3 linked regions of the Drosophila melanogaster genome follow. The protein of the gene in region 1 interacts with the protein of each later gene in a pairwise test. Each region holds a gene or a part of one and is shown in the gene's direction. Other genes may lie near its edges. The genes, in order: Mpi, Ptp61F and CG17560.

Region 1 (3,755 bases):
AGCCATTCATCATCTGCTCTGGTATATCCATTCTCGTCTTTCGATCCGAGTTGGCGTTATTTTTGGGTATTTTGCTGGTGGTGAGCCTCCTACGGCGAAAAGTTTCCATTGACGGGTGAAGATTATCAATCATTGCATACTATTCAATGCTAATATTTGTAAAAATAGGCTACTCAAAGTTGCACTGCCGGCGGGCGTCTGCATTTTGGCTGCCACAGTGCTGGTGGACTCGTTCTTTTGGCGCCGCCTGCTTTGGCCCGAGGGTGAGGTGCTATGGTACAACACCGTACTCAATAAGAGCTCCAACTGGGGTACCTCGCCTTTTCTATGGTACTTTTACTCCGCCCTGCCACGTGCCATGGGTGCATCGCTGGTGCTCGTGCCCATCGGCGTCGCATTGGAGCCACGTATTCGGCCATTGGTCCTGTCGGCTCTCCTCTTTGTCCTTTTGTACTCCATTCTGCCGCACAAGGAGCTGCGCTTCATCATCTACGTGTTTCCAGTTCTCAACATTGCTGCGGCTTGCGCATGCCAACGAATGTAAGCGTCGTATTATTTCATTAGTAAAATGCATTTCTATTATTGGTTTCCTCGTTTAGTTGGATGAACAGCGCCAAGTCAACGTGGCATAGCTTTCTGGCGCTCGCCTGTGGAGCCCATCTCCTGCTAAATGTCTTTATAACGCTCTTCCTGCTTGTCATTTCGGGCACCAACTATCCGGGCGGAGCAGCCCTCTCCCGATTGCATCGCTTGGAAGCTGGCACCTCAAACGTTTCCGTTCACATTTCCAACTTGGCCGCCCAGAGCGGCGTGTCGCGTTTTATGGAAATAAATAATGAATGGACTTACAGCAAGGACGAGACAATGAACTATACCCAGGCGGATTTGGTTGCATACACACATCTTTTGGTCGAGGCGAAGAACAAGCAAAACACTGAACTATGGGCATCGCTCCAAAACGAATTCGATACGCTAGAGTTTATTGACTGCTTCAACAGCATCGGCATTCAATACAATTCTCTGCTGCCGGTGCGAATAAAGACGAAGCCTTGCATTGGTATACTTAAAAAGAGACCAGTGGCTCCAAAAGAGGCATCAAAAACAAAAGAGAAAATAGCAAAAACTAAGACATACCCGGTGGAAAAAGAAACGTTATTAGCTCCTGTTAAAGAATTTCCAAAAGTGATAGGAGATCCGAAAATGAAATCCAGGTTACAAGTCGATGCGGATGATGATGATGGCATCGTGTCCACTGTGGAGGAAATGTCGCTAGAACTGGAAACGGATACTGAGCCCCATGCTGGGGCAGAGACCATCGAAACGCCCTTGAAGGAGATCAATTTCCAGGAGCTGAGAACCCTCGCCTTGGGACAGGCAACCAAGAAGTCGAGAGCAGCCACCAAGATGAAGATTCGACAAATTATCGAGCAGCACTACCGCGCCAAGGGCAAACAAATCGAAAACGACTCCGCAGAGACCCAAAAAACGCAAGGAAAGGCTGGATTACGGCAATCCGTAAAGTCCATCATAAAGCAGGAGAAGATCAAGGAAATGATCGAGCAGATCGCTACGATGGATCTGACACGCATCTGCGATTTGGAAAGGACTTCGACCAAAGATTGCTTAAAACAGGTCATAGACAAAATAGATGACAGCGAGGGTTTGAAATCCAAATGACAAAACCTATCACACTTTAAACTGTTTTATTAAATTAAGCTAAGCGTTTGTTAATGGCACAGTTGTAAAAATTTAAAATAAAAGCAATAATAAAAGCGAATCAAAATTTCAGGAATTTCCTATATCTTGATAGAAAATTAAGTCGCGGCCAAATCGCACCCGAATCGCGTCCGAATCGCGCTAAAGTCGCCTCAAAATCCCCCCTAAATCGCATCTAATCGCGCCTAATTAAGCTCAAACGCTCTAACTAAACATAAATTGCCAAATAGAGTATGACACATTACGGCACGTCGGATATATTTTTTGCTGACCAAAAATAAATATAAATTAAATTATAGAGTATTAAAGTATCGTCATATATGTAGAACTAGTCATTAGGGATATCGCAATATCCCCATCTCTAGCTTAAACGCGATATATGTATTTAAAGTAACAGTGGTGGAAACACACCAAATTATTTCGGCAATAAAATCGAAATTACAAACTTCCAGAAAGCTGTTATCTATATAAAAAGGTGTGATAAGCCTTATGTCGCAGGTGTATCAACGCTAATCCACTTAATGGCGCTTTCACCACAGACCAACCCCTCTCACACGTATCCATTCACCAGCAATCATATGTTTTCTTATCACCTTCAGGTTGACCTCAAACGCAGTACGGCGAATTTTGGAAGGCAATCGGTGCGGTGAAATGGAGCTGACTGGATGGGTGAAGAACTACGGCTGGGGCCGCAAGGGCATCAACTCGGCGGTGGCCCAGCTGGCAATGGCCAATGATCCGGACTTTCGTCTGAACGAGGAGGAGACCTATGCGGAAATGTGGATGGGCACGCATGTGTGCGGTGTGTCCGTGGTCAAGGAAACCGGAGAGACTCTGGACCGAGTGCTAAAGAAGGACCTTTCATACCTGTTCAAGGTGCTAAGCATCAACAAGGCACTCAGCATCCAGGTGCATCCGAACAAGTGCGAAGCGGAGCGCCTGCACAAGGAGCGCCCGGATATCTACAAGGATCCCAATCACAAGCCGGAACTGGCCATTGCCCTCACGCCCTTTCTGGCCCTCGTGGGATTTATGTCAGCCGAAGATATCAGGGACTACATCGATGAGTTCCAGCCGCTGAGTAAACTCATTGGCAAGGAGGCTGTGGATCAGCTCCATGACTCGACCAACTCGGAAAGCGTTAAGTTGTGCTACGAGAAGCTGATGAAGACCGAAGAGCCGGTGATAGCCAAGTGCATCAGTGAAATAGCCAAGGATTACCAAAACGGTGAGCCATTCTGTGCAATCTATGAAAGATTTGTAAACATTCCTCTAAAATAGAACTGAAATCCAACGATCTGCTTGAGGTGTTCACCAAGGTCAACAAAGACTTCCCCGGCGATGTGGGCGTACTGTCCCTGTTCTTCCTCAACCTAATCCGCCTGCAGCCCGGCCAGGCGATCTACTTGGGCGCGAACGAGATTCATGCCTACCTGGACGGCGACTGTGTGGAGTGCATGGCTTGCTCGGACAATGTGATACGGGCGGGCCTAACGCCCAAGTACAAGGATGTGGACCAGCTGCTGGAATCTGTGATCTTCGAAAGTTCGTATAAGGATCGCAAGGAGTTCATTCCGTACCGCATAGATGACCAGGTCCAGGTCTATATTCCGCCAGTATCCGACTTTGCAGTGATAAATGTGAATATCGAACACTCGCTGGAGTCGTACAAGCTGGAGATACAAGCATTCGGCTCCATATTGATAGTTCTAAAGGGATCCCGCATTCTTAAATTGAAAACCCAGCAGGGAGATAAGGAGATCTTGGTAACCCGCGGCAGCATTGTGTACATTCCCGTCGAGGCGGCGCCGGAAATCGAATTCGCCCAGTCCGACGATTGCGACGAGGACTTCAGCGGCTACATAGCAACCAGCAACTACTTTCGAGTGCCCTAAAATTCTCAGTTAATCGAAATATTTTGTACAGTGCAATAAATCCATTAACACGTTTTGGTGGTGAATTATTTTGTTTATATTTACTTGCAATTAAGAGCTAAGAATGTAAGCTAAAGTGGCAATAGTAGCGATAAATAAGTTATC
Region 2 (3,755 bases), on another chromosome or scaffold:
GAAATAGGTGGCGCTAGCGTCGCTTGGCCATCTACAAAAGAATTTAGCTCCTGTTTGGAAATACTGCTGTCATATTCTGACGGATTATGGCTATTATTGCCCTATTAGAGCTCGATGTTAATAAAAATTACAGTTATTTTAAAGATGGCTGCCTGAGCGAATGCACCCAGTAAGAAACTAGAGATGGGCGATCGCATAGTTATTTTGGCCGTGACACGAGAATAACAAGTCTGACACGAAATATTTATTCATACCTTATTGTTTTTCCAAATCACACTGCAAGTGATCTCGCACGTACGCAGCTCTAAAGAGTTTTTTTTTATTAATAGTGAAATGTATTATTTTACGTCTTTAGTTTCGATTTGTCTACGAAAGAAAGGGGTGTTTGAGCCATGAAAATATCGCCATAGGGATTGGTGGGTTTTTGGCTTTCGCGGTCGAATTCGGAGCCAATGGCCCACAGCGACTCCAGATCGTATTCCTCGCGAGCACTCGGTGAAAATATGTGCAGGGCAATGTTGCCTAAAAGGAAACGGAACGTGTTAGAGCGGAGAAACCGGAATATGCATTTATTTCAATACCCACCCAAGTCCATGGCCATCCAATCCCGGCTCTTATCGCCCTCGATGCGCGGCAATATGTCACCCTTGCCCCGCTTGATCTTGAACATTCGGCGCACGAACTCCGCGGTGGACAGCATGTGTCGGTAACTGCGACCACTGCAAACCACCAGGTGGTCAACGTACTTCAGGTTCTCCGGCACGTAGCAGACGAATATGTCGTCCACATTCTCCTTGCGGAGCAGCTCCACCAAGTCCTCAACGTCGAACACTCCGCGAACACCTCCTGCAAAGGGAAACAAAGGCTTAAATTTCTGCTCTCCCTGGACGATTGCCAACCTACGCTTTAAATTGAGGCCGTAATAGTGATCCAGCTCCAGGTCCGGCTCTGGAAGTTGCTGCTCCTGGTGGCGTGCCTCTTCCACATCAAAAATCTCCGTGGCTTCCTCATCGCGGAATATTTTGTACTTGTCTTGCACGCCGGCAACCAAAGTCTTTTCGGGATTGCCTTCGATTTCCTGGCCCTTCGCTGCCTGTTGTGGCGGCTTGGAGAACTCGTGGTGGAAGCAACGCAGGACAGGCACACTCAGGCGCCTGTCGTGCACTAGGCGGAACACGCGGGTCAGCATTTTGCTTTGGCTTCTTTCTGTTGTTATTAATAAATTGGGTAACAGTTGTTGATTCGATACTTTTGGTATTACTCGATAACACTGGTCAACGATGAGCGATTGTAATATCGGTATTTTAAAGTATTTGAACCCAATTTTCTTATCAGAATTTTTCTATTTTACTTTTAAAATATTTTATTTTATTTTTTTTATTTTATTTTTATTTAAAATATTTTATTTCAATTGTTTTTATATTGTTATGTCTTTAGTTAAGTATTTAATTTTATATAAATTATAGAAAACTTATCCCGAATGTTATATTATGTTTCAGTAAAGTTCTAATTTCTGCGCAAGCACTTTAGTTTCAGTATGTGTTCTATTGCTCTACAGCGCCTGGTCACATTATTTGATGGTGAAAATATCGATAGACGTAACTAATATTTCAGAATAATAATGTCGCAGATACAATATATTGTGTTTGGCTTGCATTTGTAAATAGGAATCACCATAAGAGAATATAATATGTAATGCGATCAATATAGTGATGTACAATCGAACTATCACTCGGTATCGCACTGCAAATACCGATAGTATTTCGCAAGCTCAAATATTCGATACATCGACACTGTCGTGAGTTGTCCAGCTCTAGTTCTCCTCTGAAATTAACCAGCCGCCTGATAACCAAATTAAAAGTTATTAAATCGGAACAAATCGCAGCAAAGTGTGCACAATGAGCGAGCAGAAAACGAGTGGGAGTGGGTCGGCGGCCGCTGCCCGTCTGCAAATCGAGGCGGAGTACAAGGACAAGGGGCCGCAATGGCATCGCTTCTACAAGGTAATTGGCAACAACAACTGCGACTGCACTGAAAACTGGTTACAAACTGGACGAATGATTGTGGCACAGTTCGATTCGCCAAGGATTCGCAACGGATGCGGAGTATACACCTTTCCACAGCTCCTTGGCGCTCCGATTTCCACGAAAATGTGATGAGTGCGCAAAAGGCTTCTGCAGATGCCTCCACCACCAACACCAGTGCAGCGGCGAGCTTTACGTGTGTGCGTGTGTATTGTGTGTCAGTGCTGTTGTTGTTGCAGTTGTTGCTTTAACAGCCAGGCTTTGGCCAAAAACAAAAACCCATGGAAAAGAATGTACAAACAGAATAGCACCAACACACATACACGCACACCTGCTGCACTTTACTTTGCATTCTCCATCGAACGCGTGTGTGTGTGAGTTCGTGCGTGTGTATTGGCCTGTATTTGGCATATTTATGCTTGTTATTCTGCCATACCTTTCCCCAAAAACGCTTTCCTTTGACTATCAATAGAGCGCTTGAGCTATTCCGCGAATTCTCGTTTGGCCAAATCAAATTGGAGGCGATTTCTGGGAAGCTCGTTGTGTTTGTGATTGCCGTCCCCCAAAAACAAAATACAATTCGTGGAGGGGTGACAGTGCTCTCCACTGAAGAACTCCTCTAACGCGCGCACACACACACACACCCGCTCGCGTTGAGCAGGAGAGAGAGGCTCACGCACACAGGGGCACAAAGGGCATGCGTCTGGTTTTTTGAGTCTCGCTTTGGGCTGCTTCTGGTTGCCTGTCGGAATTGGAGTCGGAATCCTCTCCTTGCCCCTTCTTCTCTCCTCCTCCACCTCCACTCGTTCTTTATAGCCAGTTCCGGCGAACTGTCTTCAGCTGCTACTCCTCCTCCTCTGTTCCTCTGTGCCTCTTTCAGCGCTTCCACTCACTTGAATTGGGATTTCACGGAATTCCACTCCGCAGTTAGGATGACACAGTATATGGTCGTGTGTAGAAATATCTCGTTTCTGGACCCGCTCCTCGGCATCCTCGTTCGTCATCCTTTGTGCTCGCGTCGAGGATAATCTAATTTTCCAGCTAACTGGAAGGCAGCCCGCAATTGTGCGTCGAAACTGACTGGAAAATAGCTACCAGCCATTTCCACTGAAATACAGTGCAACTTGACTAAGACGATCTTGTTAGGCCAAAGTGAGATTTCAATAAACTTTCTTTAATCATATTTTCTCATTAAATCATAAATAGTTTTCAGCTTGATAATATTACTTTCGTGAAATTCATCTAAATTCGCTGAATTTTATATGTTCCATAGCATGTAAACGTTGACTCATTTTTGTTGCAATGAAAAACAACTATGATCAATGTGAAAACATCACATTTTTCGATGATTACTTTATGAATAAGACCGACCTACCCCAATTTTTACTTTAATAACATTTAGCTGTGCATGCTACTACATTTCTGAAGAAAATTATAATCCATTATAGGCACTTATCTGTCTTTATTATAGAAATTCCAAAACACATTCTTCTAAGAATTAATAAATCGCAAATATGTGTGAACATAAACGGTACAACTAATTTTGTGGTTATCATTAAAACTTCCAATTTATTTGACATTTGCCATATGATAGCCCATCATAGGGGATTTGGACTGTAGCCAAAAACGCAGTGACGCATTCGGACCGTATTGTTTTGCTATGCTTTGCTTTATGTTTAATCATTTCCATTGAACGAAGTGCGTTACACTGGGTCTTCTCAACTCGCCGCC
Region 3 (3,755 bases), 6.9 Mb from region 1:
CAACTGCGTTATCTACAACATCAAGGAAAATTTCTACCCCGAGCATCTCAACTGCAGTTCCGATAAGGTGCTTGCAATGGCAGAGCTGATGAGTGACGAGCTACTGGACAACATGGAGCAAGCGCTCCTTGGCTCGTTTCCCAACACGTACACGTACACCAAAGCACTGGCGGAGGATGTGATCCTGAAGGAAGCGGGTGGCTTGCCACTTTGCATCTTCCGACCGGCAGTCAGTAAGTAATCCTTATTACGTACTCTGTCTACATCTTGTCATTTCTACCCTTACCCAGTTATTGCGGCCCACAAGGAACCCATCTCCGGCTGGATAGACAACATGTACGGACCAATGGCAATTCTTTTCGGGGTGGCCCGTGGAGTACTGCGCATTGCCACCATCGATCACCATGCCGAGGCAAGCCTGGTGCCCGTGGATTATTGTGCCAATTTGACTCTGGCCTGTACCTGGAAGACCATTGTGGAAGGTAACGAGATGGGAACACAAGAAACTCCTCTCATCTACCAACTGGCGCCCATTGAGCAGAACAAGATCACCCACGGGGAGTTCATTCGACATGCTCTCGATGGACGCACCAACTGCCCGCTGACAAAGATGATATGGTATCCCTTCATCCACTGCATCACAGTGCCGTGGCTCTTCCCCCTGGCAGCTTTCTTCTATCACACCCTGCCAGCCTACTTTTTTGACCTGGCTCTCTGGCTGAGTGGCCGGAAGCCCAGACTAGTAAAGGTTTACCAAAAGATCCACAAGACTCTCGGCATCCTGGGCCCATTCGCCTGCAAAAGCTGGCGCTTTGACATGCGGAATACGGATCACTTGAGGCAGCAGATGTCGGAGGAGGATCGAAGGATATACTACTTTGATATGGTCAGCCTCAACTGGAAGGAATACTTCGTTCAAGCTCTGCGTGGCATGAGACAGTTCTTGGGAAACGAGGCACCCACCCCAGAGTCCATTGCACAGGGCAAGAAGCTCATTAAGCGGTAGTTTCCATTGTCTTTTCTGTTTCTTACAAAGTGTATTACATCTAATTGTATTTTAGTTTAAAGCTGCTCCATCATATCCTGCAAGGTGTCCTTTGCTTTGTGGCACTACTAGCACTGTGGTCGTTGGTAAGGATCCTAGTCTGATTCAGCAGTACATAGGCAACCCACCGACTCACTTTCGTAATTGCGTCATGGAATTAAATAAATATATACAACACATAGACATGTCTTTTATTTAATTACTTGAATGGTGGTAGCTATAAGGTTTTTTCCTCACGAGCCGATCTAAATAGGTGCACTGAGTGACACAATCGATTGCATAAAGTATACGCAACTGGTTACATCAAGAAGTGATATATATACAATAGTATGCACCTATTATAATGTAATAATTTTTTAATTGAAATCGCTCTCTGGTATTCTATTGATCAAACCTTATTGAAATAAATAGGCCATAAATTGGTATATAAAATGTTATGATATAACATATATATGTGTGGTTCCTATACAGAATACAAGGTCTAGCACATATACGGTGTAGTCACGAGGATACTTATATGCGATTACGTAACGACTGATCGGGGACTTCTTACACGTGCCCATACAAAATTTATATACGCGGAAATACAAAGTCATCGCATGCAATTTATCATTTACCATTCTTGTTTACCATTCACACATATACTAATTTGAATTTCACGCAAGAGATGGCAGCTCTATACTAAGTCTCGAATCAACTTTAAAATTTTAAATTAAATGCACCAAGGTTATTTTCATTCGTAAGCAAAAATATAATTAATAAATGCAACTAGGCCTTTAATCGAAGCAACACAAATAATTATCTATACCCAAAAAATAAACTTTCGCTGAGTTTAGAGCACGAGCTCCTCCCTAAAACGGGAGACCATTGGGTGTCTTGAATATGCTGAACTCGACCTTTGTTGGGTGTAACTTATAGATTCCCAAATAAATAGAAGCGCTAGTTTGGAATCACTTTTCAGTTCACTGGCTCGCAACGCGTTCAAGACCCTTACTCGGAACAAAATGGATAGCGAGATACAAGGATTCTTTAAGAACAAGACCGTGTTCCTTACGGGTGGCACCGGATTTCTGGGAAAAGGTACCCCACTCCTCGAATCTTTTCGCAAGCTTATGGAGTGTGCTTTTCAGTGATCATTGAGAAACTACTGAGGACCACGGAAGTCAATCGGATTTACTCCTTAATTAGACCTAAGCGGGGAGTGCCTATCGAGGACCGAATCACAACCTGGGCAAAGGATCCGGTGAGTGATATTCAGTGCTAGAGTGACAGATGTGTCCTGACCGCTCGTGTTTCGAAGGTGTTTGAGGTGCTCCTAAGGACGAAGCCAGATGCCTTGCAGCGAGTTTGTCCCATCGCGGGCGACTGCTTGGATCCGGATCTGGGTATAAGCCAATCGGATCAAAGGATCCTGACCGCCGAGGTGCAGATTGTAATCCATGGAGCTGCAACCGTGCGATTCGACGAGGCTTTACACATCTCCTTGGCCATCAATGTACGAGCCACTCGTCTGATGCTTCAACTGGCCAAGCAGATGACCCAGCTGGTGTCCTTCGTTCACGTATCCACTGCCTACTCCAACTGCGTGGTGCATGACATCGCAGAGCGATTCTATCCGGAGCACTTGAACTGCAGTTCGGATAAGATCCTAGCCGTGGGTGAACTGGTAAGCAATAAATTACTGGACGCGATGGAACCTAGCCTTGTTGGCTCCTTCCCCAACACGTACACCTACACCAAAGCCCTGGCCGAGGATGTGATCCTGCGGGAGGCGGGCAACCTGCCACTGTCCATCTTCCGACCGGCGATCAGTAAGTGCACCAGATTGGGAATAACCTTCAAAAGCTGCAACTTAAATATTCCCAGTAATGTCCACTTACAAGGAGCCCCTGGTTGGATGGGTGGACAACCTATTCGGACCACTGGCCCTCTGCTTCGGCGGAGCTCGCGGTATAATGCGGGTCACCACGGTGGACCCTTCAGCCAAGATCAGCCTAGTTCCCGCTGACTACTGCGTAAATGTGGCATTGGCTTGCGCTTGGAGAACGGCGGAGATATCCGTACAGAATGGAAAGGTCACGACGCCCCCCATTTACGCGTTTGCACCTAGCGAGAATAACCTGATGAGCTACGGAAACTTTATCAAATCATCTATTATCTATCGGGACATCATACCGCTAACCAAGATGCTGTGGTATCCCTTCGTCCTGTGCATCTCCACCACATCCCTATTTCCGCTGGCCGCCTTCTTCTTACACACCCTTCCCGGCTACTTCTTCGATCTGCTGCTGCGCCTCAAGGGCCGGAAGCCCATACTCGTGGATCTGTATCGGAAGATTCACAAGAACATCGCCGTCCTGGGTCCGTTCTCCAGTACCACCTGGAACTTTGACATGACCAACACAATGGAGCTAAGGGAAGCGATGTCCAAGCAGGATCGCAACCTTTACGACTTCGACATGGCCCAGTTGGATTGGAATGACTATTTCAAGGCCGCCATGTATGGAATGCGTCTCTATATTGGCAAGGAGAAACCCACCGCGGAGTCCATTGCCAAGGGTCTGAAGCTGAGGATGCGGTGAGTTTCAAAATGACACTTTCCAATCGCTTTAAGTAACATAAAATGTTTGCAGCCTGAAGGTCCTTCACTATGCATTCGCATCCTCGCTGGTTGCTTTAGCTGGTTACATCCTGTATTCTCTGGCCAGAC

What was found.
Region 2: the proteins of Mpi (region 1) and Ptp61F interact in a two-hybrid assay, tested with the Drosophila melanogaster proteins (one large-scale study listed by BioGRID).
Region 3: the proteins of Mpi (region 1) and CG17560 interact in a two-hybrid assay, tested with the Drosophila melanogaster proteins (one large-scale study listed by BioGRID).

The regions. Positions count from the first base shown.
Region 1 is NT_033777.3:9,757,535-9,761,289, forward strand, and holds Mpi (mannose phosphate isomerase), read left to right. Parts: upstream 1-2,087; 5' UTR 2,088-2,191; intron 2,192-2,315; 5' UTR 2,316-2,367; coding exon 2,368-2,944; intron 2,945-2,997; coding exon 2,998-3,611; 3' UTR 3,612-3,674; downstream 3,675-3,755. Other genes in the region: Alg12 alpha-1,6-mannosyltransferase, read left to right, coding at 1-115, 169-540, 600-1,677.
Region 2 is NT_037436.4:1,348,620-1,352,374, reverse strand, and holds the start of Ptp61F (protein tyrosine phosphatase 61F), read left to right. Parts: upstream 1-1,775; 5' UTR 1,776-1,898; coding exon 1,899-2,003; intron 2,004-2,832; exon of another isoform or gene 2,833-3,176; intron 3,177-3,755. Other genes in the region: CG9166 (uncharacterized protein), read right to left, coding at 344-522, 586-846, 904-1,189. UniProt on the Drosophila melanogaster protein: Non-receptor protein tyrosine phosphatase. Required for maintaining dock/dreadlocks in its non-phosphorylated state. Negative regulator of InR/insulin-like receptor signaling through dephosphorylation of tyrosines when recruited by dock/dreadlocks.
Region 3 is NT_033777.3:16,615,932-16,619,686, forward strand, and holds the start of CG17560 (uncharacterized protein), read left to right. Parts: upstream 1-2,018; 5' UTR 2,019-2,049; coding exon 2,050-2,125; intron 2,126-2,175; coding exon 2,176-2,288; intron 2,289-2,345; coding exon 2,346-2,856; exon of another isoform or gene 2,857-2,911; coding exon 2,912-3,623; intron 3,624-3,678; coding exon 3,679-3,755. Other genes in the region: CG17562 (uncharacterized protein), read left to right, coding at 1-233, 291-1,002, 1,062-1,149.